4 linked regions of the Medicago truncatula genome follow. The protein of the gene in region 1 binds, or shares a complex with, the protein of each later gene. Links are inferred from orthologs where the notes say so. Each region holds a gene or a part of one and is shown in the gene's direction. Other genes may lie near its edges.

Region 1 (8,010 bases):
TTAAATTATGGTCTGGATCCGCAATTACGACTGCAAATATTGCTGCTGCGCACAATGGCATCACACTGCGCTTTGCTTGTTAACTATCACCAACATTTTTACATGCTAGCACCTTGCTATATTTTCAGGTGTGTACTTTGGGAGACACTAGACTTTTTCATTTGTGCATGGTTGGTTATTACACTAGATAGCGACCCGTGCGATGTATGGTTAAGGATACCAAAATTAGTTTAATAAATGTTGTTACGATAAAAAGGTGGTTGCAACAAAGCTGCGATGCATTTTCCATCCTGTGGGCACATATCAAGATTATAGGCCTACCACTTCAATCAATCTTTGTATTGCAGTACTTATAGCTCTTCAGAACCGAGTAGGTTTCTGAGAATCTTGATTCTGATTATTGCTTTGTTCTTTCAAGGGTGAAATCCTCTGAGTGTTGGTGAAATAGAATCTTTGTTTTGAGAATCTTTGTTCTTTCACAAACCTAAAGTCCTTTGCTAAGCATTTGGTGAAATAGAATGATCAGAATAATAGCACATCCTCAAGGATAAAATCAAAGTTGGTCTACCAAGCATTAACATTATTCAACTATGCTTCTTCAGAAAAACATTATTGAACTATGGTCTTGTTGTGGAAATTACAAGCTTCTAAAATTATTGGTAGAAATTAACCATTGCAAATATGTATCTCTAGCACATTGTAGATTCCTTGTTTAGACTAAAGAGTATCTTAGCATTACTAGTGAAACATATCAGGATCAACCGAATAATGATTGCAAATAATGATTCCTTGTTTACACTCAAATCATGTGGATATATTTTAATTAGGAATCAATCTATAACCAATGATTTTTTATTTTTTTTTAACAAGCCAAAATGGAAAATAACATTACCAAAAGTGTTTTATCTGGCATAAGATGTGCAAAGAGAAACAGCGAAAACAGTTACAAAGTCAGGTCATGGGTCCCTGAAAAAGGAACAACGCAATGAAGAAAACAATAATAATAATAACATTACATCAAAACACTCATGCATGATAAAGGGTGCTGCAACCACTCATGGATGCTGAAAATAAAAGCCTGCATATTGGATTTAAGCCAAAAGTACGATTGCCGTTTAACCTTGTCCGCCATGCAGTGGGAATCCAAAAACTTGTGATTAAAAACTCTATTGTCACACTCCTTTCAGATAACCCAAACGCAAGCTAGCCAGATCATCCGAAGGAATGAATGAGAAGAACTTGGTAATCCAGCAAGATGCCCGAACTGAAGGAGATGATCACGAGCCTCAAAAGGAGCGATGCAGGAGATGTCGAGCCACCGGAGAACCAAAAACCACACGCTACTTAAAGTGTTGCAGCTAAAGGACAAGTGATTTGTAGTCTCTAGAGACCCACACCCCCTTCACAAACATATTGTCGTCAAGCTAAAGTATTTGTCGCCGCACCAAGTTATCTTTAGTCGGAAGACGATCACAGAGAAGTCTCCAAGCAAACAAAGAGACTTTTAACGGAACCTGTCTATGCCACACATCGTCAAACAGACCACAATCAGGATGATCGGTTTCCTTTGTGAAGTAATGGTAAGTTCCTCTAACAGAGTAGCCAGCAATAGGGTCAAGAAGCCAACGCCACCTCTCATGAACATTATCCTACAAAATAATAGTATGCAACAACACCCCACACTCCAAAAGACTCTCCTCCTCCTAGGCCTCCTCCACTATAACAACGATATTTTGTGCAATTTGATTGAAGACGTGTGTAAGATAAACCACACTAAGAGTGCATAAAAATTAATCTTATAAATTATTAGAGTAAATTTCTGATATAATCTTCATACATAAATAGTGTAAAAAATTGTGTACCTCAGCAAATTACAACCAATTATGTGTGTAATATTTAAAATAGATAGGAGTAAAACTAAACGTAATCAATGGTCTATCAATTATTATCAATTCAAGGTGTAAAAATTGTTTACACCAATAATGTATAAATTAAATTTATTAAAAAATTTCATATCATTAAACAAATAAGATTAATTTCGAAGCACTATGTTATAATCGTATCTAATCATATAGACAAGTAATATTTTTTAAGCTAATTCTTAATACCTCTACTAATTTTAATTAATATGATTGAATGCATGTGTAAAAATATTTTATATTATCGGTCTATATGAATTAAAATTCGAAATTTATTGGTTGTTTTTCAATTCAAAAAATTTACAAACTTGCAAAATTATCTATGGTTAAAGACTTAGACTTTGTTTGGGAGTTTGGAGGGGAGGGAAGGGTTTTGAAAAAAAGGAAGGAGAAATAAAAGACATTGGGATGATAGAGTTTGGGGGTTAATTTTTTTATTCATAATATCAAATACCCCTCAATCCAAGGAACTCAAAATTATACTAGAGGAGGGTTTTTGGAGGGATTATATGAATTTTTCAAATTAAATCTATGTTGTTATAATATTCTTAAAATTATAAGTATATTAATCATAAGTGTTAATTTATCATTCTCTAAAAAATTATTCTTTCAAAAAATATGAAAGATTTTTTATTTTCCTATATATTTCCCACTCCCAAAGCGCTCATTTTCCCTCTGTTCCAAACTCTCAAACAAAGCATTCCTTTGACATGTTTAATCCTAATTCTCGGTCGTAATGTTTTTTCGTGTATTTATTTCTTTTCTACTTTTGTATCTTTGAGGACTTATTCTATTGTTGAAATTGGTATAAAAAGTAAAAAAAAATGAAACAATGAAGTAGTGTTTATTGTTAACTTCGCTATCACTCTTCTAGTGTTACTCGTGCTCGTTGTTTGGAAGCGTTAGACCTTATTGATATTTTGAGTTAATTGCTGATCATTAGAAATTAATTAATTGTTGTAGCTATTATAATCAAAATTATTGAAAGATTTTTTAAATTATATGTAGTCTTAGTGTTTATTATTATAATATGTTGGATTATAATGAAATTTCTCGAAAGTGCGAGAGAATTGGACTAACTTCAGATTATGAAGTGAACTAGTATAATTTACTTAATTGTGTCGTTTATCTTTTTCCTTAATTAACTCTTTACATACGTGCACATTATCTCCCATCTAATCATAAAATGGGTCAACACTTTTTAGTTACATGGTTAATTAATTAGTTAGTTGAATTTGTTACTTAACTAACAAATAACCAATATAAATAGGTTGCAGTCACATTTTTTCATTCACAAATGAGAATTGGTACAATAAAAATACTTTCTCTCTTAATTTCATCATTTATATCTTTTTCAACCATTCTTTATACAAATTGTTTGCATGGTAAGAAACAATAGTTGCGCTAACAGAGCCCCCACCTCTCAAATCTATTTAATTCATATTTTTAAGGAAATCTATTCAATTCATGTAATAGTAGAATAATCCTCACTTATATTTAAAGTGATTTTTACGAAACCGTGCCAAAAGTGAGTATAGTGTATTAGTAGCTCATCAATAAGCAATAAATAAATCAATGAATTCAAGTCATAATAGATTAAATACCGTTTATTAAAAAAACAAACATGGATAGAAATCAAATACTAGGAGTTACAAAAACAAGAAATTAAATTAGAAGATACTTTCTCTCTAAAAATTATCACTTAATTATGTTGAACCACATATTTTATTTTTAACATTTCTTTTTTTACTAAAATAAACTATATTCATTTATTCAAATTAGTAGAGTATATAAGAATGGATTAAAATTCCTTTAAAAAAAACAAAAAGAATGGATTAAAATTCAAAATTAATAAAAGCGAAAAGTATTAATCTGCAAACAAACTAACAACTTTTAAAATGACAAAGTAAATACAATTAATGTGACAAAATCAAAGTGACTGAAATACTCATGCATTCAGATATGCAACGTTTAAGTTTAAGTGATGATCATTTAATTGAACATTGATAGATTAAAGTTGGCTAGTCATGTCAAACCAAACAAACAACTTACCAAAATGGGAAATTAGCCAACGCTGCACAAAAACGATGAACAAAGAAAGAAACGATGCACTAGGACGACAAAATAAATTTTTTATTTTTATCTAAAAACCATTTATTTAAATTAAAAGAGAGAGTGAAATAAAGAACGACAATTTTAGACCCTCAATAAAAAAATAGAAGAGAGAACCAGCAAGAAAAACTACAACCACTTGTTCGAGAGGTAGCGTTAGTGTAATTTATTTATTTTTTCATATTTTTAGATACTTTTTTTTTTCACATTTTTAGATACTTTATAGGGTTAAGTATGTTTTTGGTCTCTATAAATATGTAAACTTTTCGTTTTAGTCCTCCCAAAATTTTCCTTCAACATTTAGTCCCTATAAAATTTTCAATCTTCACTTTTGGTCCCTCTTTAAAGTAAAATCATATGTAGAATTCATATTATTTAATAAAATTTTCCAGGAAAATTCGAAATATTATAAGAACCACTTCAAAAAAATTTGAGAATTTTTTAACAAAACGTGAATTTAATATGAATTTTTATATTTTTTACGGTTAAAAATTTATATTTAATTTGTGTTTTGTTAAAAAATTCTAACTTTTTTTAGGAATTTTTTTTAGAATATTTTACACATTTCTTCCAAATTTTATTAAAAAATACAAAAATTAAATTTAAAATAAGGACCAAAAATAGTGATTGAAAATTTTATAGGGATTAAATGTTGAAGGAAAATTTTAGAGGGACTAAAACGAAAAATTGACATATTTATAGGGACCAAAAACATATTTAACCCTACTTTATAAATTACTTTTTGTTGGGAACGAAAAAACCATATACTAAGGTAAGAAAACGAAACATAGTAAAAAACATAGAGAGACAAAAAACCCAGTCAAACAACACAAAATCCCTATCATACCCCTAATCCACATCAGCCTTACATTAGGCGGGAAAAACCTGTAGGACATAACATATGTGGCGCCAAAACACAATCTTAACCTTTTTTTAATAATAAAAAAACATTATTATTAAATAAAATTAATATGTTTATTCTCTTTTCGTGAGTTTCTGAGATTTCTCTGTTCTTATTCCCCCCTTTCCTTCATCCTAGGGTTTCTCAATTTCACACCTAAATTGCGATTCCTTGTCAAAATTCACCCAATTTTCGCTCGAATTAGGGTTTCTACTCACTCGATCTGTGTGAATTAGGGTTCTTTCATGAGTCCTTCAGCTGAAACGGAGATGGAAGATACTAAGCTTTCTGTTGTCGAAAATGGTGACCAAGCTGTTTCTCGTTTTGCTGAGTTTTCAAAGGTGATTGCTTTGTTTTAATTTTCATTTTTCGTTTTCTGGGTCAGTTTTTTGATGTGAAATTAGTTTAATTAATGTTTTTTTTGGTGTTGTGTTTTTATTTTGTTTGAGCTGATACTGTTTGTGAATTATGTTTATAAAGTTTTGATCTTTAAGTTTTTTAGTTTGTAGGGTTCGTTTGTGATTTGAAGAAGTGAAATGAAATTTGTTCTTTTTGTTTGTAAACCCTAAATTGAATTATTATTGAGAGATAAAATGCATGTTAAAATGTTTTATTGATTAATCGATCGATCTTCACGGAAAGATAGGTGCATAGATTTTTTTTTTGGGTTAATTAAGTTTTTAGTCCCTATAAATATTCACAGTTTTGTTTTTAGTCCCTACAAAATAAAATCACACTTTTTAGTCCCTGTGACATTTTCCTTAAGCATTTTAGGGACTAAAAATGCTGATGGAAAAATTTTATAGGGACTAAAAATGCTTATGAAAAATTTTATAAGGACTAAAAATGTTGATGAAAAATTTTTAGGGATTAAAAAGTGTGATTTTATTTTGTAAGGACTAAAAACAAAATTTTAAATATTTATAGGGACTAAAAACTTAATTAACCCTTTTTTTTTTGTGATTTGAGGCATTTTTTACATTTTGGTGTATGATAAAGTTGAGTTTTTTATTATTCCTTTTTGACTTGGTTAAATTAATCAGACATGTTTTGGTGATAGTATGTGATGGAGAAAACTTAGGGAGCAATTAATCACCAACCCTTCCAAGGTCATCAATTTAGCAGATCAGCAACCCTTCCTAGGTCATTAATTTAGCGGAAATGAATGTTTAAATTCAGAAAAGTTTGTCCGATTTATTGATCTGTCATGTACTGTCGGTTAATGTGGTTGAAAAATTGTGTGGTCGGGCGTTTTCACTTTGTGATTAATCGGTCTGCATTGATTTGTTGGGAGTCTTTCTTTTAGGATCACTATTATTAATTGATCTGTCGTTTCCGGTTCTTTTGTGTTATTGGGAGGGGAGTTTGACATCGGTTACCTATTCATTATTAATTTGTTCCAGAAAGAGTTTATGGTACAAATCAATAGTTGTGAGTAGCATTACTAATTGCATCTGTTGTTTGAAACATGAAACTCTTAGCTTATTTCAAATAACGGATGGATTACGAAGGAAAGTCATGCTGCCCAATTAAGCGTTGGCTATCCCTTCACACCCCAGCCCTTCATTTTTTCGCCAAGTCCTGTCACTAAGCCACATGTGTTTGGAAGCTTGCATTATTTTCGGTCAACTCACTCCATTTACTTGCCATACCTTCTCATTATGGCTATGCTCTGCTGTATCCTCTGTTGCACAACAATTTTCTATGTGTATGCCAGACACCAAATAGGATAAATGTACATGTATGGTTATTACTTGTGTTTAGACAGATCTAATGAGTTTTAAACTGAGGTTTTTTATTCATTAAATTATACATTGATTGGCTCTGTTTAATTGACAGTCTTTTAGACAGATAGTGAAGATGACTTAAAAATGTGCTTGTGGTTGATGATACAAAAATATTAAGTACTAACCCTTATTTATACTATCCAAAGATTCCAAATCCTAATTAAATAGGGAAACAAATTATGATAATATCCAAGTAAAATGGGAAACTAATATCGAGAGACACTGCAAGATAGGAAAACAATCCTACGAGATAATATAATATTTTTGTGACAGGATAATTTTTATATATTTTAACTCTCTCTTTTGTTGCAGAATGAGCTAGCATTGGATGAGAAAAGCTGTAAAGAAGCAATGGATCTGTTTGGAGAAACCAAACATCTTCTCATGGCAAATGTTTCATCAATGGGAAATGGAACGGTACGTATGCACACAACTCTCTAGTATGAAATCCATTTGTCATTGAAGTTTTTATTTGAATTCATGAGGTTTATAAATATTTTCAGATAGAAGAAGCAGAGCGGTACTGGTTTGCTTTTATTTTATACTCTATCAAGAGGCTGACTCAGAAAAATGAGGAAAGTGAAAAAGAAGAGATTGAGAATACCGGTCTTACCTTGTGTCGAATATTGAGAGCAGCAAAGCTTAAGTATTTTTCTGACCTTTATCTAGTATCAAAGTTTGTAGTTTGGTCTTTTATTAACTGGTATGTTTATCTTGTATTGAACAGCATTGCAGATTTTTTTAAAGAACTTCCTCAGTTTGTTGTCAAAGCTGGTCCAATTTTAAGCAATCGATTCGGCTCTGATTGGGAAAACAAGCTTGAGGTATTGACTAGTCTGAGAATCACGATTGTATTTTTGCCAAGTTAATTGTGATTATATACTTTTAAATCCTTCAAATCAGTTATATACTTAGCTAATATTTTATGTTGCTATGTTTATATTAGGCAAAAGAGATGCATGCTAACACTATTCACCTGAAGATTCTTAGCAAGTGAGTAGCCCAGTATTTTTTATGTTTTTTTTTGCAGTATAAGGTTGCTTGCTTTGATTATAGTTTGCTTTACATCTTACGACTTTGATTGTGCCAGGTATTATAAGCGTGTATTTGAAGAGTTCTTCGTGTCAACTGATGCAAATGTTGAAAATAAGTCGTCTGTTACGGGCCGTGTATCTGAGTGCCATCGTTTTGGATGGTTACTTTTCTTGGCCCTTCGTGTACATGCTTTCAGCCGTTTTAAAGACTTGGTGACTTGCACCAATGGTTTAATTTCTATCATGGTCAGTTAGAT
Region 2 (7,828 bases), on another chromosome or scaffold:
TTAATATCAAATTATTTCTCAAAAGCTACTAATAGTCATTATAATCCGGTGTTTTTATTCTAGTTGTTTCCCAATGCTGAAATAAACAGATAGAAAATCCTAGGAAGTGATTAAATTTGAAACAAATGAGTTCCATATCATTGTCAAACTCATAAAATATTGCACAAACTCTTCTATTAGATCTTTGACCAATGGCTGTGCTCCGAAACAAATTGGTGAATGATTGTTTGTATTTTTACCGCTGTCTATGTTGCATTCTCTTCAGGGCACAGTTGTCTAAAATGTAATTTATTTTTCCCTATGTCCTGGTGCACTGCTTGAGTTCTTTGAGTCACTTTCCATCTTGTTGTTATTTAGGATGTTATGTTTGTAAACTTTGTTAAGAATTTTAGAATCCAGCCTAAGGTTCAGTGTCTTCTTTGCCTTCTAACAGTGAAATATCTTTGTAGCGTAACATTTCAGTGTCTTCTTGATCTAGTTCAATTGTTTTTTTCTTGAACAATTACTAGAATTAAATCACATGTTTCTGTGTGCAGAAGCATTCTTTGTGACTGACATGTTGCATTCTCCTTGGGGCATAGTTGTCTACTATATAATTTATCTTTTCCTTTGTCCTAAGGCACTACTTGAGTACTTTGTGTCACTTTGTATCTTGTTGTCCTTTAGGATGTTATATGTGTGAACTTTGTTAAGAATTTGAGGATTGGGCCTAAGGTTCATGGTGTTTTCTTTGCCTGCTAAAAATGAAATATCTTCATTGTCGTGTAACATCTTAGTGTTTTCTTGATCTAGTTCAATTGTTTTTTCTTTGAACAATTGCTAGAATCAAATCACATGTTTCTGTGTGCAGAAGCGCCGTGAGGAAATAGACAGACTAGAAAAGGAGAAACAATCAGAGCTTAGGAGCTACAAGGGTTTGATGGTCGCAGAAAATATGACATCCAACAAAGACATTGCTTCAGGAAGCAGATCATTCCAGGAAGTGGAGGAGGATTTCATGTAAACATTGGTTATTGGCTTATAGACAAATGACTGGTGGTCAACTTGCTGCCATGATTAAATAACCCAACTGGAATCTGAAACTGCATCATTGTCTTGGTTAAGGAAACCAAGTGGTGTGTGTACCCAACTGTGATTTAGGGATAAAGGAGAATATAAAATAGGGAGGGGAGAATGCAATGATTGGTTTTCATACCTTGTGATGGTTATATACCTGATTTATAACTTTGCTTGTGACAATGGTTTTTATTTTATTTTCTCACAGTCGAGTCAAAAACTGATGTTTCTTGCTATAATTTTGAGTCTTGTTAGGCTTGTCAGGTTTAAACTTTTGCTTTTAGGAAATTGTTAACTATGCGATAAATTATCAGGGCATTTTGAAGTATTCATGGTACTGGCAGAGAAGCTCGTTTATTTTTTTATCACAAGACTAATGGTAGGAATAGAATATTATTTAGTGAGAGGCTGCAAGAGTAGCACATAAGCATACATGTAAGTTATGTATGTATGCCCTAACAGTGATGATATTTTGCTGGTTTGCACATTTCATCACGAAGCTGAAAAAACCACTCTTGTTGGAGAGGTTATAAGCCAGTCATAAAGATATTAGAGACGTGTTTTCACTTCAAAGTTCAAACGTGATCCAATTTACTACACTTGGAGCTGAATTGAACAGGTTTATTGTTAGAGTAATGATATTTGATCATCCATTTTTAACAACTTTTGTGACAACACTCTCTCTCATACTCTCATTGTATTTTTATTCTCTCTCTTCCTTTTTCTCTCTCTATTGTTATTGTCCAATAAAAAGAGGAAAAACGTTGTCACTGAAAGTTGTTGAAAATTGATTGTCAAAATATCATTACTCTTATTGTTATTATGGTTGAGTTGAGAGAAATGATATTTGAACAATCATTTTTAACAACTTCGGTGACAACTCTCTCATACTCTCATTATACTTTATTCTCTCTCTTCCTTTTTCTTTCTCTCTATTGCTATTGTCCAATAAGAATGGAGGAAAAAGGTTGTCACCCAAAGTTGTCTAAAATTGGTTGTCAAAATATCATTCCTCATATAGTAAAGTTTTATTAGACGTACATTGTAGATGCTAGTTTAAAAAGTCTTATATAAGTTGACATCTAATAGTACACTTACAGTGCTGATGCTAGTTTCATCAGCCGGGACGGGAACGACTTTGATACAAACACATGGCTAACATGAGAAATAAGAACAAATAAATATAAGTATATGACCATAGGCGGGGGGGTTGGACAGCTCAACTCAACTAGTTTGAGTTAAGGAAAAAAAGTCTTGGAGGTATTGGATCAAACCCGATCATGGAATAAAATATTGATCTAACAAACTAACTACCAACATTTGCTATAAAACTAAAACCTAGGATCTATTCAAAATAAATTAGCTGGTTGATTCATTGTGACTAATCCTAATAATAGCAACAATATTCTGGTTTTTTCTTCTTTCAAAAAAATTATTCTGGTTTTTTCTTATGCTATAATTAGATATACTCTTCATGTTACCCCATTCATCCTTTGCTGTAATCCTCAAAACAGTCATGTATTTGTTGTTTTGAACCCTTGAAGGAAGAGACTCAACAGAAAACATATATTGATTCAAATGGGTGTATGCCCAATTTGCACATGCAGATCCACGATTCCTACTAAATCCCATGTGGATGTGAACAAAAGTGTTTTTAAGTAAAACTCGATGATTCGATCAATTGAGCAGAACTGTCCAAAGCAAAAGTCCAATTCTAATTACATATTTCGGTGAAGAAAAGAACAAAAACCGTCCTGATTTGCCGAGTTTCAATGAATTTTAAGTCATCATACATAAAATAAAATGATCCGAGTCATAAGTCTTAATTAATCTTAATTCAATCTTGTCAACATAAATTAATCTTAACTCAATGATTCAAACAAAAATTCTTCTTAATTCCCCCTTAAAATCCAACTTAATTCAATGGTTGCAACCCGTGTTTTTATATAATTATATTGACCTAAAGAAAATTGCCAAATTTGTTTCCTTTTTACTTTACATACATGATATATATTGGCATTTTGTTTTCTTTCGGTAAATGATCTATTGACAATCTTAGTAAATTAATCTAGTTATTATTATTTGCATTAAAGAAACTAAATATTGCACCTTTAATTAAATTAAAATCCTTCAAAGTTGTTTTTTCAAAGAACCTTCGAAGTTGTTGTGGTTGTTTTTTTTTTTTTTGACAAGAAGTTGTTGTTTCTTTTTTATTTTTATTTTTTATGTTCGATTAAACCTTTAGGAAAAAAAAAATTATGCTATTGTTATTGTCATTGAGATTCTCTTACTTCGACAGTTTTCTTAAAAAATATTTTAATATTTATTTAATGAATTTTCACATATGGGACGTTTTGATCTTCTTTCAAAATAAAAACTTCTTTCTTTAAAGCATAATCTTGTTTTTTTGGGTAACTTGTTTTAATCCTGAGTAAAAATAGATAATACGGCCGTGTTTGTTGTTTCTTGCGTTAGAACTCAAAATAAAATGGGGAAAAGGGAAGTTTAGTAAATTGTAAAATTTTATACGTGCATGACACTTCATATCACAGAGATAATTTATTTTGACAACACATATATACTTTTTTTTGAAACAAACAACACATAGATACTTAAAAATATATATTTAGTTTTAGATTTAATTCGTAAAACACCACAAAAAAAGACGCCACAAAAAGAGATTTAATTTGTAAACACAGGGCAACATAAATATCCGATGCTACATTTTTTAAGTTAGTTTTTAAAACGTCTTTTATAAATATCATTGAGTTAATTGCTATATACTTCATCCGTCCTTCAATAGATGATCTATTTGAAAATATGCACTATTGACCAAACATAATTTGACTATATTTTTCTGCTAATATACAAAGATAAATAATATCATATAAAATATCGTTGAATTCGTCTCGATGAATATTTTCAAAATATCAAATTTTCATATTTTACACATGTATCAAATTTAACAATGTAAAATTATTTTACACATGTATCAAATGATGTCTTACAACGTCAATTAATGAATATGAAAACACACGAGTTCACGTATTCATTAACTTACGCGACAACACATCGTTGAATTCATTGTAGAATATTTATAAACCGACAATGTATATTAATTAAACAAACAATGTATTTAGAATGTTTTGATTTAATGCATATCTAAAAAAGTTTTACGGCAAAAATGTATAAAAATTAATCTTTATAGTTTTTCATGAAAAGATACTTACAAAAATACTATATTTTAAAAATGAGTTACGCAGTGTTTTAAGAACATTGTTTAAGAAACATATAAAAAAAAACATTTTATCTTAGAAATACAAGTCAAACACATGTAAAAGTTATAACTACACAATTTTTAATATAAAAATTATTGTTTTTAAATGCTTAAAAAATATCCTAAAACATTCGTTAGCAAAAACACCACAAAAAAACATTTGTTAGTATTTTCCATTAAGCATTAATGTAAGTAGGTGATATAATGTAAAAATATTAGTAAACTCCAGAAAAAATCTGCTAAAAAAACAAACTTCAGAAAAATATGTGGAGGAAATCTGAAAGAAAGAAAATAAAAAATATGACCGTTGCACTTTTGGAAAAATAAAAACTCAAGGTAAAATGTGAACCTTGACTCCGACGTTTCTCATCACGACCGTTCATTTTAAAAAAGTCAATAATATTGTTTGTGAAAAAAGGAAAAAAGAAAAAAAAAATCAAAAAAGAAAAGAAAAGAAAAAGAGAAAATAGTTTCCGCCCCTTTATGTTTGAGTTTGAATATTGAGAAGACCGTTTCCTTTAACACTTTCTCTCACTAAAACCTCTTCTTATTCTTCTCCCTACTTTGAATGTTGATGTCAAATTCTAGATCTTTCTTCAACATCCATCCATTCGGATTTTCATTTTCACACAGTTTCAATTTCCTCATCTATTTTCTCGAATATCTTCATTTCTGAAGCTCAATCTGGTTGGTGTTTTTTTTTTTGAACAATGGTTGGTGAACGCTTGCATTTTGATTTCGATTTCTTCTTCATGTTTATATTTATGTTTATTCTCCAATCTACAACTCATATTTATGCTTAAATGTAAATTCTATTCCGAGTTTTCAAATTGCTTTAAATTTGAATTCCTTATTTTTTTTCTTCCTTTTTTTGAATTTTTTACTTTAATTGTTTGATTTTGTAAGGATCCAGTCTGTTTAAATTTCTCTATTTCATTCGTAATGCCGCCATGTGTTTGATCCATGTAGCGGATCCCACTTTGTGCGACTTATGTGATTTATTTTTGAAATTTGAATTCAATTTATATTGATTCATATGTTTGTTTGCAGGAATTTTTGCTTGGGTAATTTTACAAGTGTGGATTAGGGATTAGAATGATTTGGAGGACAAATTGTGGAGATAATTGCAGACAAGTCGAAATTCCGGTACACTATGGGAAGTGAGTCGACAATTCCTGCTTTATCAGATGGCGTACAGAAAATTAGAGCATTACATGGGTAAATCTTAAATTCATCTTTTGTTTTACTAACATGCTTGATATGCACTTGTTGCTTTAATCTCAGATACCCCTTTTGGAAGTAAATTTTAGATTCATTGGTATGTTTATGTTTGGAGTTGTTATTTGCTTTCTTTTGATTATGAAATGATTTATTACCAAGACAAAGAAATGAATCCTTATTTTCCCAATTATAGCTTATCGCATCTGTCATTACAATTTTCCTACACCTTTTTTCCTTAAGCTAGTTGAAAAGAGGTCTGCAAGAGTGGTAACATTATACTTGTGACATTTTCCTATCACATTTGTCACATTTTTCTGTCACATTTCTGCTGATTTGATTTGTTCAACCAAAGTCGAATAGATGCACCCGTCCCCTGTACACTCCGACACTTCCAATCGGTGCCACATTGCTGGCTTAACACCTGAGTGTGAAGTTGCACAAGAAAAGCCAAAATGAGGCACTCTCTAAACTTTTTCAACTTCAATGGGGTGTATCCACTTTAATTATTATTCATTAAGGTCACTATACCTGGTCAATCAATGGTGGTAGCTTAGCTACTATAATGAGATTGAGCAGTTGCCAAACAAAATTGAAGATTATGAAAATTTTATATGCAAAAGACAAAAGACATATACTTTATGAGGATTTTAAAACGTTTCGACATTTAAATTTTTTTTTTTATGAAATCTATAACATGTCATTATATATTTATAAGCAGTGAAATGAGTTTACTCATACAATTACGCACGTATTTGCAGGAGGACTACTGGCCCTACAAGGCGATCCACTAAAGGACAATGGACACCCGAGGAGGTGAATTTTTAATACTTTTAACATATTACATCTTTCTAAAGTTTGGTAACATTGCTCCACTGCAACTTCATTTGTCTGTTTTAGGGGAGACACAATAAAATTTTGTATCATGTGAAATTTAGCATCTATAGACTTATTGTGTTAACTTTTTCACTTTCAATCATTATAGTTAATAGTTATTGTGTAGACTTCTTTGAAGATCATAAATGGCTAAATAATGCAATGACTTTTTTTGTATACATGTGCATTTAGAAGCTGTACTTGATTTTTCTTTGAAATTCTTCTATGTAAAAATGTATTATATGATCAAGTGAAATACATGAATTCTGTGTATGCAGGATAATATATTGAGGAAGGCTGTTGAGCGTTTTCAAGGAAAAAATTGGAAAAAAATAGGTAATATTTTCACGACATACTTCTTTTGGCGTATAACTGCATAGTGGAGCATTGGTTGTGTCCAATTCTTCATAAAACTAGACGAGCTTTTTCAGTTGGACCTTTACAGGCTTAACTGAGGAGATTTAAAATGGGAAAAAGAACTGGTGTTTGTTGGGGAATCAATCTATATATTTGTAGTAAACTCAATTTATATTTTTTTGTTGTCTTTACACCTATTCAATATTGTTTTTTGACTTGTTATGATTGTACAATGTGTTTGCAGCGGAGTGTTTCAAGGATAGAACTGATGTACAATGCCTGCATAGGTGGCAAAAAGTCTTAAATCCAGAACTTATCAAAGGTCCTTGGTCCAAAGAGGTAATATCAACTTCTCATTTCTTGCCGGTGTTGATTATATACTTAGCAATTTTGTGTTGGTTCTGACATGATAGCCTATTCTATCCATTTTCTGTTTGGAGATCTGTTATTTACTTACCTATCAATCTGAATGCAAACAGGAAGATGAAACAATTGTTGATTTGGTAAACAAATATGGGCCTAAAAAGTGGTCTACTATAGCACAACATTTACCTGGACGTATCGGTAAGCAATGTCGAGAAAGGTATGGTTATTGGATTTCTAATAGTTAATGTATGTTATGATTAACATACTTTACGTCCAAAAACATTAAATTAGAGTACAATGTATTTAATATTTATTCCGACTACATTTTCTTATTGCCACTTAGTGGGATAAGACTTGGTTGTTGTTGTATTTTTTCCGTATTGCACACACACATATATAAATTAAATTACGCTTGGGGGGTTGTAGTAGTCAATTCTCATTCTCGCTGATAATGATAATTTTTGAAAAATTATTAGGTGGCATAATCATCTTAATCCTTCTATAAACAAAGAAGCATGGACGCAGGAAGAAGAGTTGGCTCTAATACATGCTCATCAGATATATGGGAATAGATGGGCAGAGTTATCAAAGTTTTTGCCTGGAAGGTAAATACACGTTAATTTGGTTTTTGCATTTCATTTAAATAAGGAATGAAGTTGAAAAGTGCATGCAATGCAA
Region 3 (7,056 bases), on another chromosome or scaffold:
ATGGATCAATGAATAATATTTGGTTCATAGCAATGTTTATTCTCATTTTAATAAATAAATTACAAAGGTGATAAACCCTTTTATATATGTAAGAGCTTATTGTGCATCATATTTAATTAATAAAAAAGGAAGTAACAATGTAATTTGGTGTGTCAAATAATTCATATATTTTTTTGCATATGTTTGGTTTTTACTTATTTCCGTTCTAGATCAATTCTTTGGTGCTCTTAGGTATCTATTGTTTGTTTCTTTAATCAAGCTATTGATTTAGGATTGTTATAACTTTGACACTTGATTTAAAAATATATATTCTGCTTTTTTTTTTTTTTCCTCTTCTACTTTTCAGTTGCCTTTGAGGAAAACTTACATATAGTGAATTTTCATTGGTATTGTTGGGAGACTTTATTTTTGTGTGTAAGAATCTTTCAAAAAATTTATTTGTTCGTTGGTGAGAAATATTGATTGTGATTCAACATATTATGGTTTTTAGAAATGTTTTTTTTAGAATGGTGTGTTTAGATGGAAGATTCATGAGAGGAGGGCTTACTTTTCCTTTTTAAATTACAAACACTAAAAAAAAACCACCAAAATGACTTTTTTTCATACTTTTTGTGGTTTTGATTAAACTGAATTCACGACATAAAAAAAACCAACAAAATGACTTTTTTTTCAAACTTTTTGTGGTTTTGATTAAAGTGTACTAAAACGGAAACTCAATAGTAGGGATAAAAATGATTAGACAAATGCAATAATAGAGAGGTAGATTGGGTAAAGAGGGAGCTTTTTTTTAATAGGAGAGATGGAGAATGGGTGAATATTAGTCAAATGCAAAAAGATTAAACTGTAATCAATAAAGGTTTTTATAAATTGTGTTAGCGGTAGGAAAGATTTATTGTCTTCGTGAAACCCACTCCCATAAATTTCACTCATGTTTCATGCATATTCATATTTCTTATATAGATGAGTATGCATCACAAAACTAAGTAAATCGTAAATAACTCCATGTTAGAGAAGTGCATGTATTATCTATCTTATATTTTTTTTATCACATTAGAACTTTCTCTTTTTGAGGGGAATGTATGATATTTCTTTGAATTCTAATAATTTTCTCCAAGATATATCAAGAAAAACTAAACAACATTGATGTTGAAAAACATACTATTTATGAGTTACATGCGTTAGCGCAGTAGAAAGAGTGGACAGACGGGCACGGGAATGCCCGTCTGGACGCTAGTGAAGCCTAATGTGAAATCCTGATCCAAGTCCAATTGAACACATACTGAGAATTATGAGCTGCACTTTTCTTCTTCTTCCTTCCAATATTCACAACCAGCTTTCCAGAAACGTGATTATGCCCAAAGCCCTTTTCCAAAACAGCTTATTATTAAAAATGAAATTGAACCAAAGCAACTTATTGAATACACAACTGAGCCAAAACAGCATGCCCAAAAGAAACTTGTCCCAAACGGGCTTTTGCAAAACGCACTTTTCAAATCAGCTTTTCTAAATCGCGTTCATACAACACGATTACGCTATTGAACTCATTGTCATTTGTGCATTCCAGAATCTCTCAACCATAGCAGAATTCATCAATGTCGTGAAACAAAATACTTCGAACCTGCAAGTGTTCGCCGGAAAACAAGTATGCGACGGTTGTGTTGATTTTCACGAAAACAACGAAAGACGGTTCTTCCCTCTGTCCCATGGTATCCACTGTAGTCAATCAATACCAAAACTTGTGAACTTGAAAAATGAAATTGAAAAAGAAATTGATAGAAAAGAGGGCAACAAACCGCAAAGATTTCCACCGGGATTGAAATCCACAATTGCCTCGTCATGTAACTAGAAGCATTGAAGCTTGTTGTTGAGTGTGATTACATCATGTTCCTGTTCTCCGACGAAGAAGAAACTAACGCCGTAAACAGGTACAGAGCTTGAGAGAACAAAATCGGTGAAGAGACTCTTCGAGTTCCTGATCGCTACTTCAGAAACGGTGAAAACAAATTTTCGATTGTTCAGTTTTGTAGATTCAGCAAATGCGTGAAACAACAAATCAAGACTATGTGAATTCTTGTTTTCTTCCGAAGCATCAAACACAAAGTTGCGCTCAGTGCAACAACGTGAATTAGCGAGAAAGCAAGGAATTTCACCAATCTTGATGGCGAATCCATCAACTGCTGGCTGAAACGAAGCATTCCACGGTGAAGAAACAGAAGTGGAAACTGAATCACCAAAACTACCGAAAATGAAGCAATCTTGCGAAGTGGAGGAACACGAAGATTCTGCAGCAGAAGCTTCAAGATCTTCATCACCAACCGAATCCTCTTCATCACCAACAGAATCCTCTTCAGAATCACTATATGTGCAACAATATTGCTCTGATACCATATCGGAAACTATAGGATCAAAGAGATGAAGATGAAGTTCATAGGAGAAGTAGGCATGAGAGGTAGAAACAAAAGAATAATCCTTGTAATTCATATTGAATTAGATTGAAAAAGATAACCATAGAGTACAATAGTGAGAGATATTTATAGAGTGAGTTAGTTCGTAACTAACTCTTAACTACCTAACTAAGTAACTAACCATAGTTTACATATTATCTAATTATGGTTTATTCACTATACTCTACTAATAACCGTTGCTTCAGCAAGCAATGGTCACGCCACTCTCACGGTCTCCAATGAAAAAAGTGATGAAAAGTTCAAATTACATGCTGACAATCTCACAAAATAACTAACCGCTGGAGCTGCTCTAAGATAAGAGCAGGTTTTTGACGTACGTTAACAAACATACTTACGTATCATCATCAGTAAAGGAACATTGACGGTAAGTAAACTCTCTTTACCACAAATTAGAGAATATCCCCTAAATTATAAATCTTTGTATCGAAAATTGTACCCTGAAGTAAGTAAAATAAAAATAATGAAGTTGAGTACATGGTGGTTATGTTATGTAGCACTGGGGACTGGAGGAATATAAAGTCGGGACTACCGTTAAAACGTGGGTGTGATTCGCGCTGATTCCTAACCGAACAGAGGCAGTTTTATTAAAAAAACACGGCCAAATTTCTTCCATTGTCTTTTTCCTTTTGGTACACGATCCAAGTTTTTATATTTATTAAATGAAAATAAAATTTCCCTAAATAGGATTTAATTAATTTTAAAAAAAACTAGGATTTACTTCACATAAAATGTTTACACACACTATTAACTAAGAGAAAGAAGTCCTAACTCAACTGGCAAAATGCCGAAATTGTTAGGCCGGATGTCATGACCGGGCTTCGAACCCCGGTACCTCCACTTGTGTGTGTGAGTTTATAATGGCTTTGCCATTTCGTCTATCTACCAAAAAAAAAAACTAACAGAAAATATTTGACTTCCATTATCTATTTAAATTATACATATAATAACATTTGACTAGTCAACATAATACATTTTTTATTGTAAAAAAACGTTATAAATTTTTACGTTAATATTGTATTAAAATATTAAAATTAAAATCTAATTAAAAAGTTTGTTTTTTTCATTTGATTTTCTTAAAATAATATTTTTTATTTATTTTCAGTTTCTAGTAAATTCTCTCCTTTAAAATAATCATATTTAAAATACTATCCGACATTAAATATAATCATGAAAATTCTAACTAATATTTTCACAAGTAAAATATCGGTTTTAATTTATAAAATCTAACTCAACTAACAATACAAATATTTTTAAATCAAACATTTTCATCTGATTCCAATATGAAACCTCACAATCATAGTGTGTCTTTTGGTTATGTTTATCATTTCGTCTAGAAAATTATAACCCTTGTGTTAAACAATTAAAACCTGCTCATTTTGTCTAAAATTAGTCCTTGTGACTTAATTTTAAGTTGAATAATTTTTTGTAAAACTTTATTTATCTTTCCAGCAACTTATTATCAGATTTTTTTTTTTAAAACCAAAAGGGTTTACACACAAAAAAATAAAATAAAATAGTGTAATAAAATAATAATAGTAATAATTGATATTGAATTGGGAACTCATTATTTATTTATAAGCACTTCCCTCCACATCAATATCCGAACCAAATTCCCTCCATCATCATCTTCTTCTCCCTCTCCCTCTTCCCTTTCTCTCTCCCGCTTTTTCCCACTTTCCAAACACATAGATCTCTCTTCCTTTTCCCTCCCATTTCCTTCCATCGCCGGCAGGTGGATGTCGGGCACCCGAACTCCTCCCGCCACCGCCGCGCCGGACCAGATCATGCAGCAACGTCAACTCCCTTTCTCCTCCATGAAACCTCCCTTTCTCGCCGCCGCTGATTATCACCGCTTCGCTCCTGACCACCGCCGGAATCAAGACCTAGAAACTGAAGCTATTGTTGTTAAAACTCCTGTGAGTTTTCTATTTTTTTATTATTATTATTATTTTTTTACGTTTTTTGTGATTTTTTTTATGGTTTTTAGTTTAGTTTTTGTAAGGTGATTTAAAGAACTAGGGATCTATTGAATTTTAGGGTTTAATTTCTATTTAGTTATTAAATTGTTGGGATTAGTTGCTGAATTAGTTCTTAGAGTTGAATATTAGTTAGGTTTTACTAAAAAAAGGAATTTTTTCCGTGCTTGAGGAATCAAACTAAGTTATGCTAGTGTCTGACACGTGTGTGAGACACCAACACGACACTAACACATGTGGTTATATTCAATTACGGGTGTCGACCTGTTAGTGTCGTGTCAGGTGTTTGCAACAGTGCTTCATAGAAAAAGAGTGTGTGGGTGTGTTTATTTTTTATTTTTAATATGTGCTGTTATATGAGCTTTAGAGCCTGTTTGGATAAATGGTTTATTTGCAGCTTATGGCACAAGTGCTTATCATATAAGCACTTTTGCATAAGCTTACATAAGCTGTTTTTATAAGCATACACATAAACTTTATTTTGATAGAAAAAAAATAAGCCATAAGCTGTCTTTATTAGTTCTCTCAAACAGTCTCACAAAACTTATGCTAGTAGGTAAGCTCAAATAAGCCAATCCAAACAGGCCCTTAGTCCTTAGGTTTAGTACTTGATCAATGTATTGAGGAACTTGAGAGGATGTGATTGTAACTTGGTCAATTCTAGGCGGTAAGAATCACGTTGCAATGAAAATAATTGGTCAATTCTAGGTGGAAAGGATCACATTGCAAGGAAATGAATCTGTCTATTGGATGCTTTAAAATGCTCCTGAAAAGCCCCATTTAGTTTATGAGCTTACTTTTGCCTGGTTGTTTTTAAATGAGGTTTCTATTTGGTGCAAAGATTTTCTGTAAGAAATTTGGCAAATAAAGGAAATGGGTTACCATACTCGGTCGAAATTTTTTTATGTGGATAAAAAAATAACTCTGCTTCAGAAACCACATTTCGTGAGTTTTTAAGTTTATTTTTGTAGTCTTTCGCTTTTTCCTTTTTGAATTGAATCCATTTAGTCAACTTAGTAGTGTTGCCGTTTGCCAAATACATACGTTTTTAGGAAACTGACCGTAACTGAGTTATTCTATCATTATGTTACTCGTTAAGGAATTCTGAGGGTATCTTGCACATCCTTAGACTATGCTCATGTAAAAAACTAAATTGTGCATAACTTTTCCATTTCTCATAAATGCAAGTAGGGCGCTTCCCTTTTTCTTATTCTTTGCAAAATCTATTGACATAGTTAAAAGTATTGGGTTATGCTTGTGTTGTTATTTGTAGATATTATAAGTAAATTTCTTTCTTCTAATTGATGTGAAGCTATATATTTATGGTTGCTATTAAAAATGCCTCATTACATTGAATTGCGGCTTCGTGATACGGCTGGAGGCCTTGGCTGCCACGCTAAATGCAAATGCAGCGGAAATCGAGTATGGTGTTTGCGGCTGCGTTTCATGGTGGAATTGCTTATTGCGGCCGAAGCAAGGGTCTTACTGCACAAACCCATTCACTCTGGCCACAAATTGGAAGTTTCTTGCCATGAGCTGGTGTTTTTCAGTAAGAACACCGACAGAGAAAAATATAGAACAATGGAGTACAAGAAAGACGCGAGTAGAAACAAGAAAGGAGGAAAAGTAACTGCAATGTGGAGCTATCTAATTTTTTAATATCGGGAAGGGAACATTTTAAATTTAGGGTTTCCGAAATTAGGCTTTAAGTTAGTCTAATGGTGGTCCACACCCCCTTTTTTTCTACCGACACCCCCTTTTCTACATAGTGAAGACTAAAATACCTCTGTTCTCACCTTTTCTACCCCTCTTTCCCTTCCCCTCGCAAGCACTATCCCAGTTGTATAATCGATTGCTCTGCACCAATATCCGAGATTAACAACATTGATTTATGATTAATGGATTATTTATGAAAATACGATTCTTACTATTCTAACTTACTCTATATAATCTTTTTTTTTAAGTCAACTTATCTCCGCGAGCACCTGCTTAGACTAATCCATAATCTTTTCTATTTATTGTTACTTACTATTATATTCACACATTTCAGCAATTGAAGCGGAAGAGTGAAGCAGCTGATTTTGAAGCTGATTCAGGTGATAGGATGACTCCTGGGTCCACTGCAGCAGCCAATAGTTCTGTTCAGACGCCTGTATCTGGAAAGGCGGGGAAAGGAGGAAAATCCTCTAGGATGACAAAATGCAACAGATCTGGAACTCAAACCCCTGGCTCAAATATTGGTGAATATTTTTTTCGAAACTTTGTTAAGTAGGATTCTACATTTATCATTTTCCTAATATATTCAAAGAAAATAAGGGTAGCCAATATTTTGGTTGACAACTAGATTTCTATCAACTAACATACACCATCATTCCTTTAATTATCGATTTTGGCTACCAAAAAGTTATACTTTTTATATAAATTTGGCAGGTTCTCCTTCAGGAAATAATCTCACCCCTGCTGGTCCATGTCGATATGACAGCTCATTAGGTATTGCCTAATTTTTCAGTTTTGATTAGTTGATTGTTGATCATCGGTGGTTTATTGTTATTCAATTCTTTACAGTTTAAGTTACACATTAAACACTTGTAGTTTCTCCCTTTTCAAACAACCTC
Region 4 (7,179 bases), on another chromosome or scaffold:
TCTTATTCCATCTAGGGGAGATATTCGTTTATTCAGTATCGGACCATCCATATCAGTAATATCAATTCTAATAAGTTATTCAGTAATTCCCTTTGGCTATAACTTTGTTTTATCTGATTTCAATATCGGTGTTTTTTATGGATTGCTATTTTGAGTATTGCTCCCATTGGACTTCTTATGTCAGGATATGGGTCAAATAATAAATATTCCTTTTTGGGTGGTCTACGAGATGCTGCTCAATCGATTAGTTATGAAATACCATTAACTCTATGTGTCTTATCAATATCTCTACGTGTGGATTAATTTATCGAGTCAGGTAGGACTGCAATAAATGACAAAATTCACTCGTGATCTCTAGCTAAGTTGTCCCTTACCATCTCATTCAAGTGTTCTTGTGTTATGTAGAACAAATTTAATCAGTAATATAAAATTGTATTTGTGCTCCATTGAAGAAAAAAAAAAAAAAAAAAAAAAAAACAGCCCTCGTATCTAGCTAGCTATATCAAAAAACTCTCAAATTTCACGTTAAAAATAGATAAAGTCTGAAAAAGAATATCGAAAAACTAAAATTAAGGTTTCCATAAAAGTCTCACTAATCAAGAACAAAGGTAGGATAGGTTGCTTGATAACTTGGCAACCATGCAGTGGTGTATATTCAATCTTGGGAGCAAAGGAATAACAGATTCTATACATTGAGTTAGCTTCTCTCTTTGGAAATGCTAGCTTCTCTAAGACAACAAGTCCTATAGTATAAGTTGGGTATGGGTGAAGGGTCCTCTTCAATTCTGTTAAATATAAAACAAAGTTTAGGCAAATTAGGTTAGGTCCAACATAACATAACATAGGAACAATATCCAAGACCAATAGCATATCCACCCACCGCTTTGGCTCTCTTTCTGAGATAGTATAACAGAATTGTTCTAGTGAAGTGGACGCGAAGAAACGAAGCTTCCAATCTTCATACCATATATTATGCCAATTGTCTCCTTTAATATTGTCCATTTCTACTACACATTACTAACTACTACTTATAACCAACCTAATTATCTCATTCTTCTCTCTATCTCTATCTTCTAACACAAAGATGAATAAGAATAAAGAGGGTGTGATGCTGCTCACCAGAAATACAGAGATAGACACAAGGGCGCCATTCAGGTCCGTCAAAGAGGCTGTTACATTATTCGGTGATAAAGTTTTAGCTGGAGAGCTCTATGCAACTGCAACCAAACTCAAACACCAGGTTCTATACACCATCACATCACTCAATTTTATTAGAATATCAAAATGGTTAATTACTTGAATTATTTAAATCACCAATAAGGAATTCTTGGACATTTTAATTGAAGGTCCATCCATCAATAAGATTCTCCTATCCTATGTTTTTTTTTTGAAACAGGGTACAAACTACAAGTGCAGATTGTCATCAATTTGCAGAGTGTGTCATGTGCTTGCTTGTATTTGTGTCTTTTGCTTTCTTCACCGTCTAATTGAATAAAGGAAGTGAAGAAAAAAAAAATTCTGCTTTTAATTTTTACTTTTGTCTGTGCACTATATATAAGTAAATTCATTTGTGCTTTCAATATAGTGTGACAAGAGAAATGCTAGCAACACACATTATTGAAAAGTATATGTTAGAACGTGTGTTGATAACATTTCTCATTTCTCAGTTTAACAATATGATGCGACATGAGTGATAGATATACTCAAATGGGTGTTGCTATATATCTCCCAATAAAATATATAGCGAATGATTCACGAATGTAAATTGCCTTGATAACAAAAAAAAAGAGCTCCCCACTTGCCAACATGGTGCTAGCAAAAATAAAGGGAGTATTGTTTTCAACGTATTGTGAAACTTCGTGAACCCACTTCTCGCTATATAAAGCATTTTCCTACTCAAATTCTCGAATGATAGATATACTCAAATTATTAATCATTTGGTCAGAAAAATTAATTATTGACCCGTAGGTATGTAAAAAGTAAAAACATCAGATTACGGTATAAGATTAGTATCGGCTGAGTTAGCTTAATTTACACACACCAAAATCATTTTGGGCATCTTAGAGATTAATTAGGATTATCTGACGGTCTAATTTCCTCATGATCACTTGTTTATGGTTTAAAATTTACACTTCCACACATGATTAATAATTTATTGTTGTTCGTCTCCATGTCTTCTAATATATAGATTCACAATGGAGCAAATGAAAATGGGGTTGATCAGTCTTCAAGGGTTGAAAACGTTACAGCTGAGCTGGAGGAGACACGAGAAAATCTAGAGAAAGCTAAAGAAGAAAGCATGTTGATGGCACATTGTATGTCATCTCTTCAGGAAGAACTCGAACGCACGAAGCAAGAGCTCGAACAATTGAAGCAACGTGAAACTGAAAAACATCAAGTGGAATCATCAGAAACTGAAGACGTGAAGTTTGTTGAGAATTTAACAACCTTTGAAGTGAAAAGTTCAAGATTTGATGAAGAATTAATGATGGAGTTTCAAAAGAAAAGGTATGTGACGTTCGCGAATCCACCGTCTGTTTCTCATGTGATGTTACCTCAAGGTGTTGAGAAGTTGGAAAGGCACCCTTCTCTTAGGAAGAAGAAGAAGAAGTCATTGATTCCACTTATAGGAGGTATTTTTTCAAGGAAAAAGGGAACTAGCCAAGAAGTTCCATGATGAGTGACGAGTTTGTATGAATTTTAGCGAGTATAAGTATGCTATATGCATCACATTACCAGAATAATTACCTAACCGGGTTTTGTATTCAAGTTTCTTTTCTTTTTGAAACGAGTATATTTTTGTTTTGTTTTCGTGTGTCATATGTATCTAACTGCCTCTAATAATATTGTGTAAAATGTAGTTGAACTTTGTGAGTTGACGACTAGTAGAGTAGCAGAGTATGGATACTTGCATATTGTGGATGTTCCATGCATTGTTTAAAAAACTAGACCGGACCGGGACCGGGCTGGTCGAATTGGTTGAGTCAAAACTCAGGTTTGGTGAACCGGCGGATCAATACATGGACCAGGCTAATAAATATTTTTTAAACATAAACTAGAAACTGCTGCTAGCAGAATCCAACTGGGGAGAAGGAGATCGTAGATGTACCCCTTAACAATACAAATGTTTTGATCGAATAAAATAAACATGGAAAATCAAAATCACTTATGAGTTGAAATCATTTCCATTTTATATTCTCTAATTTCTCTCTGTTAGTACTATTGTTTTGGAAATCTAGATACCTAATATATATTCTACACCTTGACAAAGAAATTAATGAACTAATGAAAATTTAAAGATAGAGAGAAAATGATGTGTTAAATGAAAATGTATGATAATTAAAGACACTTATAATGATAGTAATCTAAAAAGAGACATTAAATGGATCACATATAAACATCACTTATTTATAATTGTTAATGAAAATATCAATTAATAATCAATGACTCAAGTAATAATAAACCAAAAATAGTCCTTAAATAGGTGCCATTAATACACACTTTAATATGTGCATTTAAAAAATAAATAAAAAGAAATTGCAGAGAGTAAGGCATGTAAATTTGAGATAGTGGGATCAACTTTTATCCAAACTTTTTCTTATTTTGATTATAGAACCTGTTAGTTGGTGAAGAGAAAAAAAAACATTGTATAGTTGTCGTGGAACTAATTGCCATTTTTTCCCTTCCAATGTGATCTTTAATAGGTTGATGTCTTTATTTAATAAAAAAACTCCTTATTAGAGATGTTCAATATCATTGGTGATAAAAAAAAGGAGAGGATGGTCACTTTTATTATTTTCTCGCATTTCAATGGATAGATTCAGGTAAAAGGGTGTATATTTTTTTTTATCTCTATCTAGATGGATAAATTTAAACAGAAAGTGATTTTTAAGAATTATAGCGACGAAAAAAGAGATATCTTTCATGAGTTAAGATTCTCATCATTTATTTGCTCTATTACTACTACTATAGTTGTTATATAATTTTTTTTGACTCACTTAATGACACATTTGTATTTATATTTTAAAAATTATAGTAACTGAGAAAAATGAAGAGGATCGTCATGACTCATCATCTATAAAAAAAATATTTGATTTTTTATTTAATTTTTTAATGGATGGTTTGAATTTCAAAGGGAGAAGGAGGCCCAGACCCAGGGAGAGAAGGTAGAAAAATAAATAGGCCCAAAGAGAAGAGAGAGGAACAAAAGGCGGGGTGGCGTGTGTATTCGAACTCATACAAATACAACAATACACCCACCGCTTCCTCCTCTTCTTCTTCTTCTTCTTCATCATCTTCTGTTAGCTTTGGACAATCTCATTCACATCGCATGACTTATCGCTCCCATTGAGAGAAAATATTCATTCAATTTTTTTTATTTTATTTTATCGCGTAATAGGATTTTATTTTCATTTATTCCCCTCAAATTCAATTCAACACTATAGCTTTCCTGCCGCTAAAACCCTTACTCACTCTATTTTAATGAATTAATTAACTACTACTGCTGCCACTACTAGTGTTGTTGGGTAAATTGATTGGGTTCATCATTCATGTCGACTCCAAGCGAGGATCAAATTCCTCATTTTTCTCAATTCAATTTCACTCCTTTTACTTCTTCTTCTTCTTCTATGTTTCCCGTAAGTCTTCTTCTTTTTCCTTCTCCAATTTTTATTTCTTTCTTTCATTTCACAATATCGATCGGATCAGATTATTTAACCAAAAATTTCCGATCATTCATTTATATCTTCATGTTTTTCTCCAAATATTATAAATCAACCGAAGATGTTAAGAGATCTCTTCTTTCATGTGTTTCAATCTAACCCTAGGAATGCACCAATGTTATATTCTCTCCGGGATTAGTCTATGAGGTTCAGCGCTGAATTTAAAGTGGAATTAATATGCCGCTCACTCCTTAGTTGTTAGAAGAACTGTTCTAGGCACACTTCAGAATTGAGATTCAATCCATTCATTAGTTATACAAATTTTAGTGACTCTTTCTTTCTTTTTTTTTTTTTTTTTTTTTTTATGTTATAGGGAGCAACAATGTTACAATTTGTTGCTCTTCATAATACTTATTCAATTTAGCAGTTTTATATTTCAATTCTGTTTTCAGCTCAACTAACTCTTATAATTAACTCTGCTTATGGTTTAATTTAATAAATAAATATCAGAATCTAGAATGAGTATCCAACAAATATTAGTCAACAATGTTACAAATTATATATTTAATTTCTGCTCACACTTTAAATGCTTGCATTCAATTCAACTGTCTATTGCAGTTAAGTCAAAGAAATGAAATCAATAATGTCAACTTGCACACTAGTAGTAACGTTGAAGCGTTTCCGAGTCAGAGCAACACTGTTAATCTTCCTCCACTTCTTCAAACCCAACCCAACCCAAGAGGAAAGCATAATGGTAAATCAAAAGTTTCAAAAAATTCAAAATCTGCCAATCAGATTTCAAATACAGGTAATTTTCTTTTAGAGTATGATAATGTGCGTTGGTTTGTATATCATTATCTGTATTCTCACATTATTTTTATTTTATGTTGGGTGGATTTTTCCTATCAGACTCTCTGAATTCAGCCACAGTCAATCGTTATGACAGTTCCTTAGGTATGTCCACACTCAAGTGATCTTTTATGACTTTTTGTCATTAATTTAGCTCTTTTTATGACGAACAGCTACATCATGTACTGTTTGCAGGATTGCTAACCAAGAAATTTATCAGTTTGATCAATGAGGCTAAGGATGGTACCCTTGATCTAAATAAAACTGCTGAGATCTTAAAGGTATAGAAATTGTCTTTCATTGTATATATGCCCGATGGTTCGTATTAGCAGGTCTGATTTTGAGCTTCACCTCCTAGTGCTTTAATAAGACATGTATAATATAATTTAACATTTTTTAATAATAGTAATTTGACATTTGTCTTCAGGTTCAAAAAAGGAGAATTTATGACATTACAAATGTTCTTGAAGGAATAGGATTGATAGAGAAAACTTCAAAGAACCATATACGGTGGAAGTAAATATCTAATATTTTTATTTGGTATATACTATTGGTTTGATTTTTATCATGTTTATGAAATGAAATGATAATATATGATGATGGGCCTTATTCACAGGGGATGTGATGGACTTGAGCCACGAGAACTGGAGCATCAAGTTAATACTCTAAAGGTTTGTCAATCTTTTTTTACTTGTCAGTTAGTTAATATGTATTCCACATTTCCTGCTTTTACACATCTGGTATGATCGGATGATTAATTAGGATTGTAAACATCTCTACTCAGTTTTTCATAACCATGTTTTTTATATACTATTTAGTTTCCTTCCAAGTCATAGGTTTCAGGAATCTTATTGTCTTCATGGCATCATATTTCTTGTCACCGATTAGACATTGCACCTAGGAATCTCCGGTTTGTATACTATAGATGAAATAGAATCTCTCCAAAGTATTTGTTGGTAGCAGTACAGTTAAGGTTGCTGAGGATGATAACAGTGGTCTAAACAAAATACAAGTTACTAGCAGTAAGGTGCAACTTGAGCTGCTGAAGACATTATTTATTGACGCCGAAAGGAAACTTTTGGGCTGAAGATATATGCATTCTGTAGAACCCTCAAGATTGAAATACTTCTATGTGACTTGTCTCTTTTACATAACAATATATAACATGATGTTTTTAATTTTGTTTGTTGGATGAGGCAGATGCGCAATCTAAATGCTGTTTGATTTGATATCATCGTGTTGGAAAAATTAACATATAATGAATGAATAAATAAAATAGATGAAACTGTTGTCAAATTACTAAAAACTGATAGTAATGAAACATAAGCAATTAGTCTTCTTGGTTCCAATTTTCCCTTTCTTAGGTTCAGGTAATAAAACCTTTAGCCAAACACTCTTTACCCACAAAACCCTAAAATAATAATAATAGTAATGTTAAATGCCAAATATGTGTAGAACATATGATACTATTTAGCAAATTAATGCTCTGCAGTATAGAAATGGTTTGGTCCAATTCTGATAATTTGGTCCATTGCAGGATGAAGTTGATAGCTTATATGCCGAGGAATTCAAACTTGACCAGTGTATAAGGTTCGCTAGGTGCTACTAATATCGTTAGTTTTATTTTGACTTATCTGTTTTATCTTGAAATTTATCATGTCAATTCTCA

The links.
Region 2: retinoblastoma-related protein (region 1) and transcription factor MYB3R-1 share a complex: the UniProt entries of both Arabidopsis thaliana proteins name them as parts of the DREAM-like complex. The link is inferred for Medicago truncatula from reciprocal best matches to the Arabidopsis thaliana genes RBR1 and MYB3R-4.
Region 3: retinoblastoma-related protein (region 1) and transcription factor E2FB share a complex: the UniProt entries of both Arabidopsis thaliana proteins name them as parts of the DREAM-like complex. The link is inferred for Medicago truncatula from reciprocal best matches to the Arabidopsis thaliana genes RBR1 and E2F1.
Region 4: retinoblastoma-related protein (region 1) and transcription factor E2FC share a complex: the UniProt entries of both Arabidopsis thaliana proteins name them as parts of the DREAM-like complex. The link is inferred for Medicago truncatula from reciprocal best matches to the Arabidopsis thaliana genes RBR1 and ATE2F2.

The regions. Positions count from the first base shown.
Region 1 is NC_053049.1:15,476,664-15,484,673, reverse strand, and holds the start of retinoblastoma-related protein, read left to right. Parts: upstream 1-4,999; 5' UTR 5,000-5,177; coding exon 5,178-5,273; intron 5,274-7,031; coding exon 7,032-7,136; intron 7,137-7,222; coding exon 7,223-7,365; intron 7,366-7,446; coding exon 7,447-7,543; intron 7,544-7,665; coding exon 7,666-7,712; intron 7,713-7,809; coding exon 7,810-7,999; intron 8,000-8,010. UniProt on the Arabidopsis thaliana protein: Key regulator of entry into cell division. Acts as a transcription repressor of E2F target genes, whose activity is required for progress from the G1 to the S phase of the cell cycle.
Region 2 is NC_053044.1:54,290,905-54,298,732, forward strand, and holds the start of transcription factor MYB3R-1, read left to right. Parts: upstream 1-4,818; 5' UTR 4,819-5,020; exon of another isoform or gene 5,021-5,046; intron 5,047-5,383; 5' UTR 5,384-5,486; coding exon 5,487-5,551; intron 5,552-6,312; coding exon 6,313-6,367; intron 6,368-6,705; coding exon 6,706-6,763; intron 6,764-7,028; coding exon 7,029-7,123; intron 7,124-7,263; coding exon 7,264-7,367; intron 7,368-7,626; coding exon 7,627-7,755; intron 7,756-7,828. Other genes in the region: coiled-coil domain-containing protein 25, read left to right, coding at 851-1,003. UniProt on the Arabidopsis thaliana protein: Transcription factor that binds 5'-AACGG-3' motifs in gene promoters. Involved in the regulation of cytokinesis, probably via the activation of several G2/M phase-specific genes transcription (e.g. KNOLLE). Required for the maintenance of diploidy.
Region 3 is NC_053045.1:26,839,340-26,846,395, forward strand, and holds the start of transcription factor E2FB, read left to right. Parts: upstream 1-4,053; 5' UTR 4,054-4,201; coding exon 4,202-4,381; intron 4,382-6,491; coding exon 6,492-6,681; intron 6,682-6,871; coding exon 6,872-6,931; intron 6,932-7,056. UniProt on the Arabidopsis thaliana protein: Transcription activator that binds DNA cooperatively with DP proteins through the E2 recognition site, 5'-TTTC[CG]CGC-3' found in the promoter region of a number of genes whose products are involved in cell cycle regulation or in DNA replication.
Region 4 is NC_053044.1:56,504,500-56,511,678, reverse strand, and holds the start of transcription factor E2FC, read left to right. Parts: upstream 1-4,179; 5' UTR 4,180-4,550; coding exon 4,551-4,637; intron 4,638-5,279; coding exon 5,280-5,469; intron 5,470-5,570; coding exon 5,571-5,615; intron 5,616-5,705; coding exon 5,706-5,791; intron 5,792-5,937; coding exon 5,938-6,026; intron 6,027-6,126; coding exon 6,127-6,181; intron 6,182-7,047; coding exon 7,048-7,100; intron 7,101-7,179. Other genes in the region: WEB family protein At1g75720, read left to right, coding at 1,085-1,240, 2,189-2,677. UniProt on the Arabidopsis thaliana protein: Involved in transcriptional repression. May act by repressing E2F-regulated genes in mature differentiated cells, but is not an antagonist of E2FA.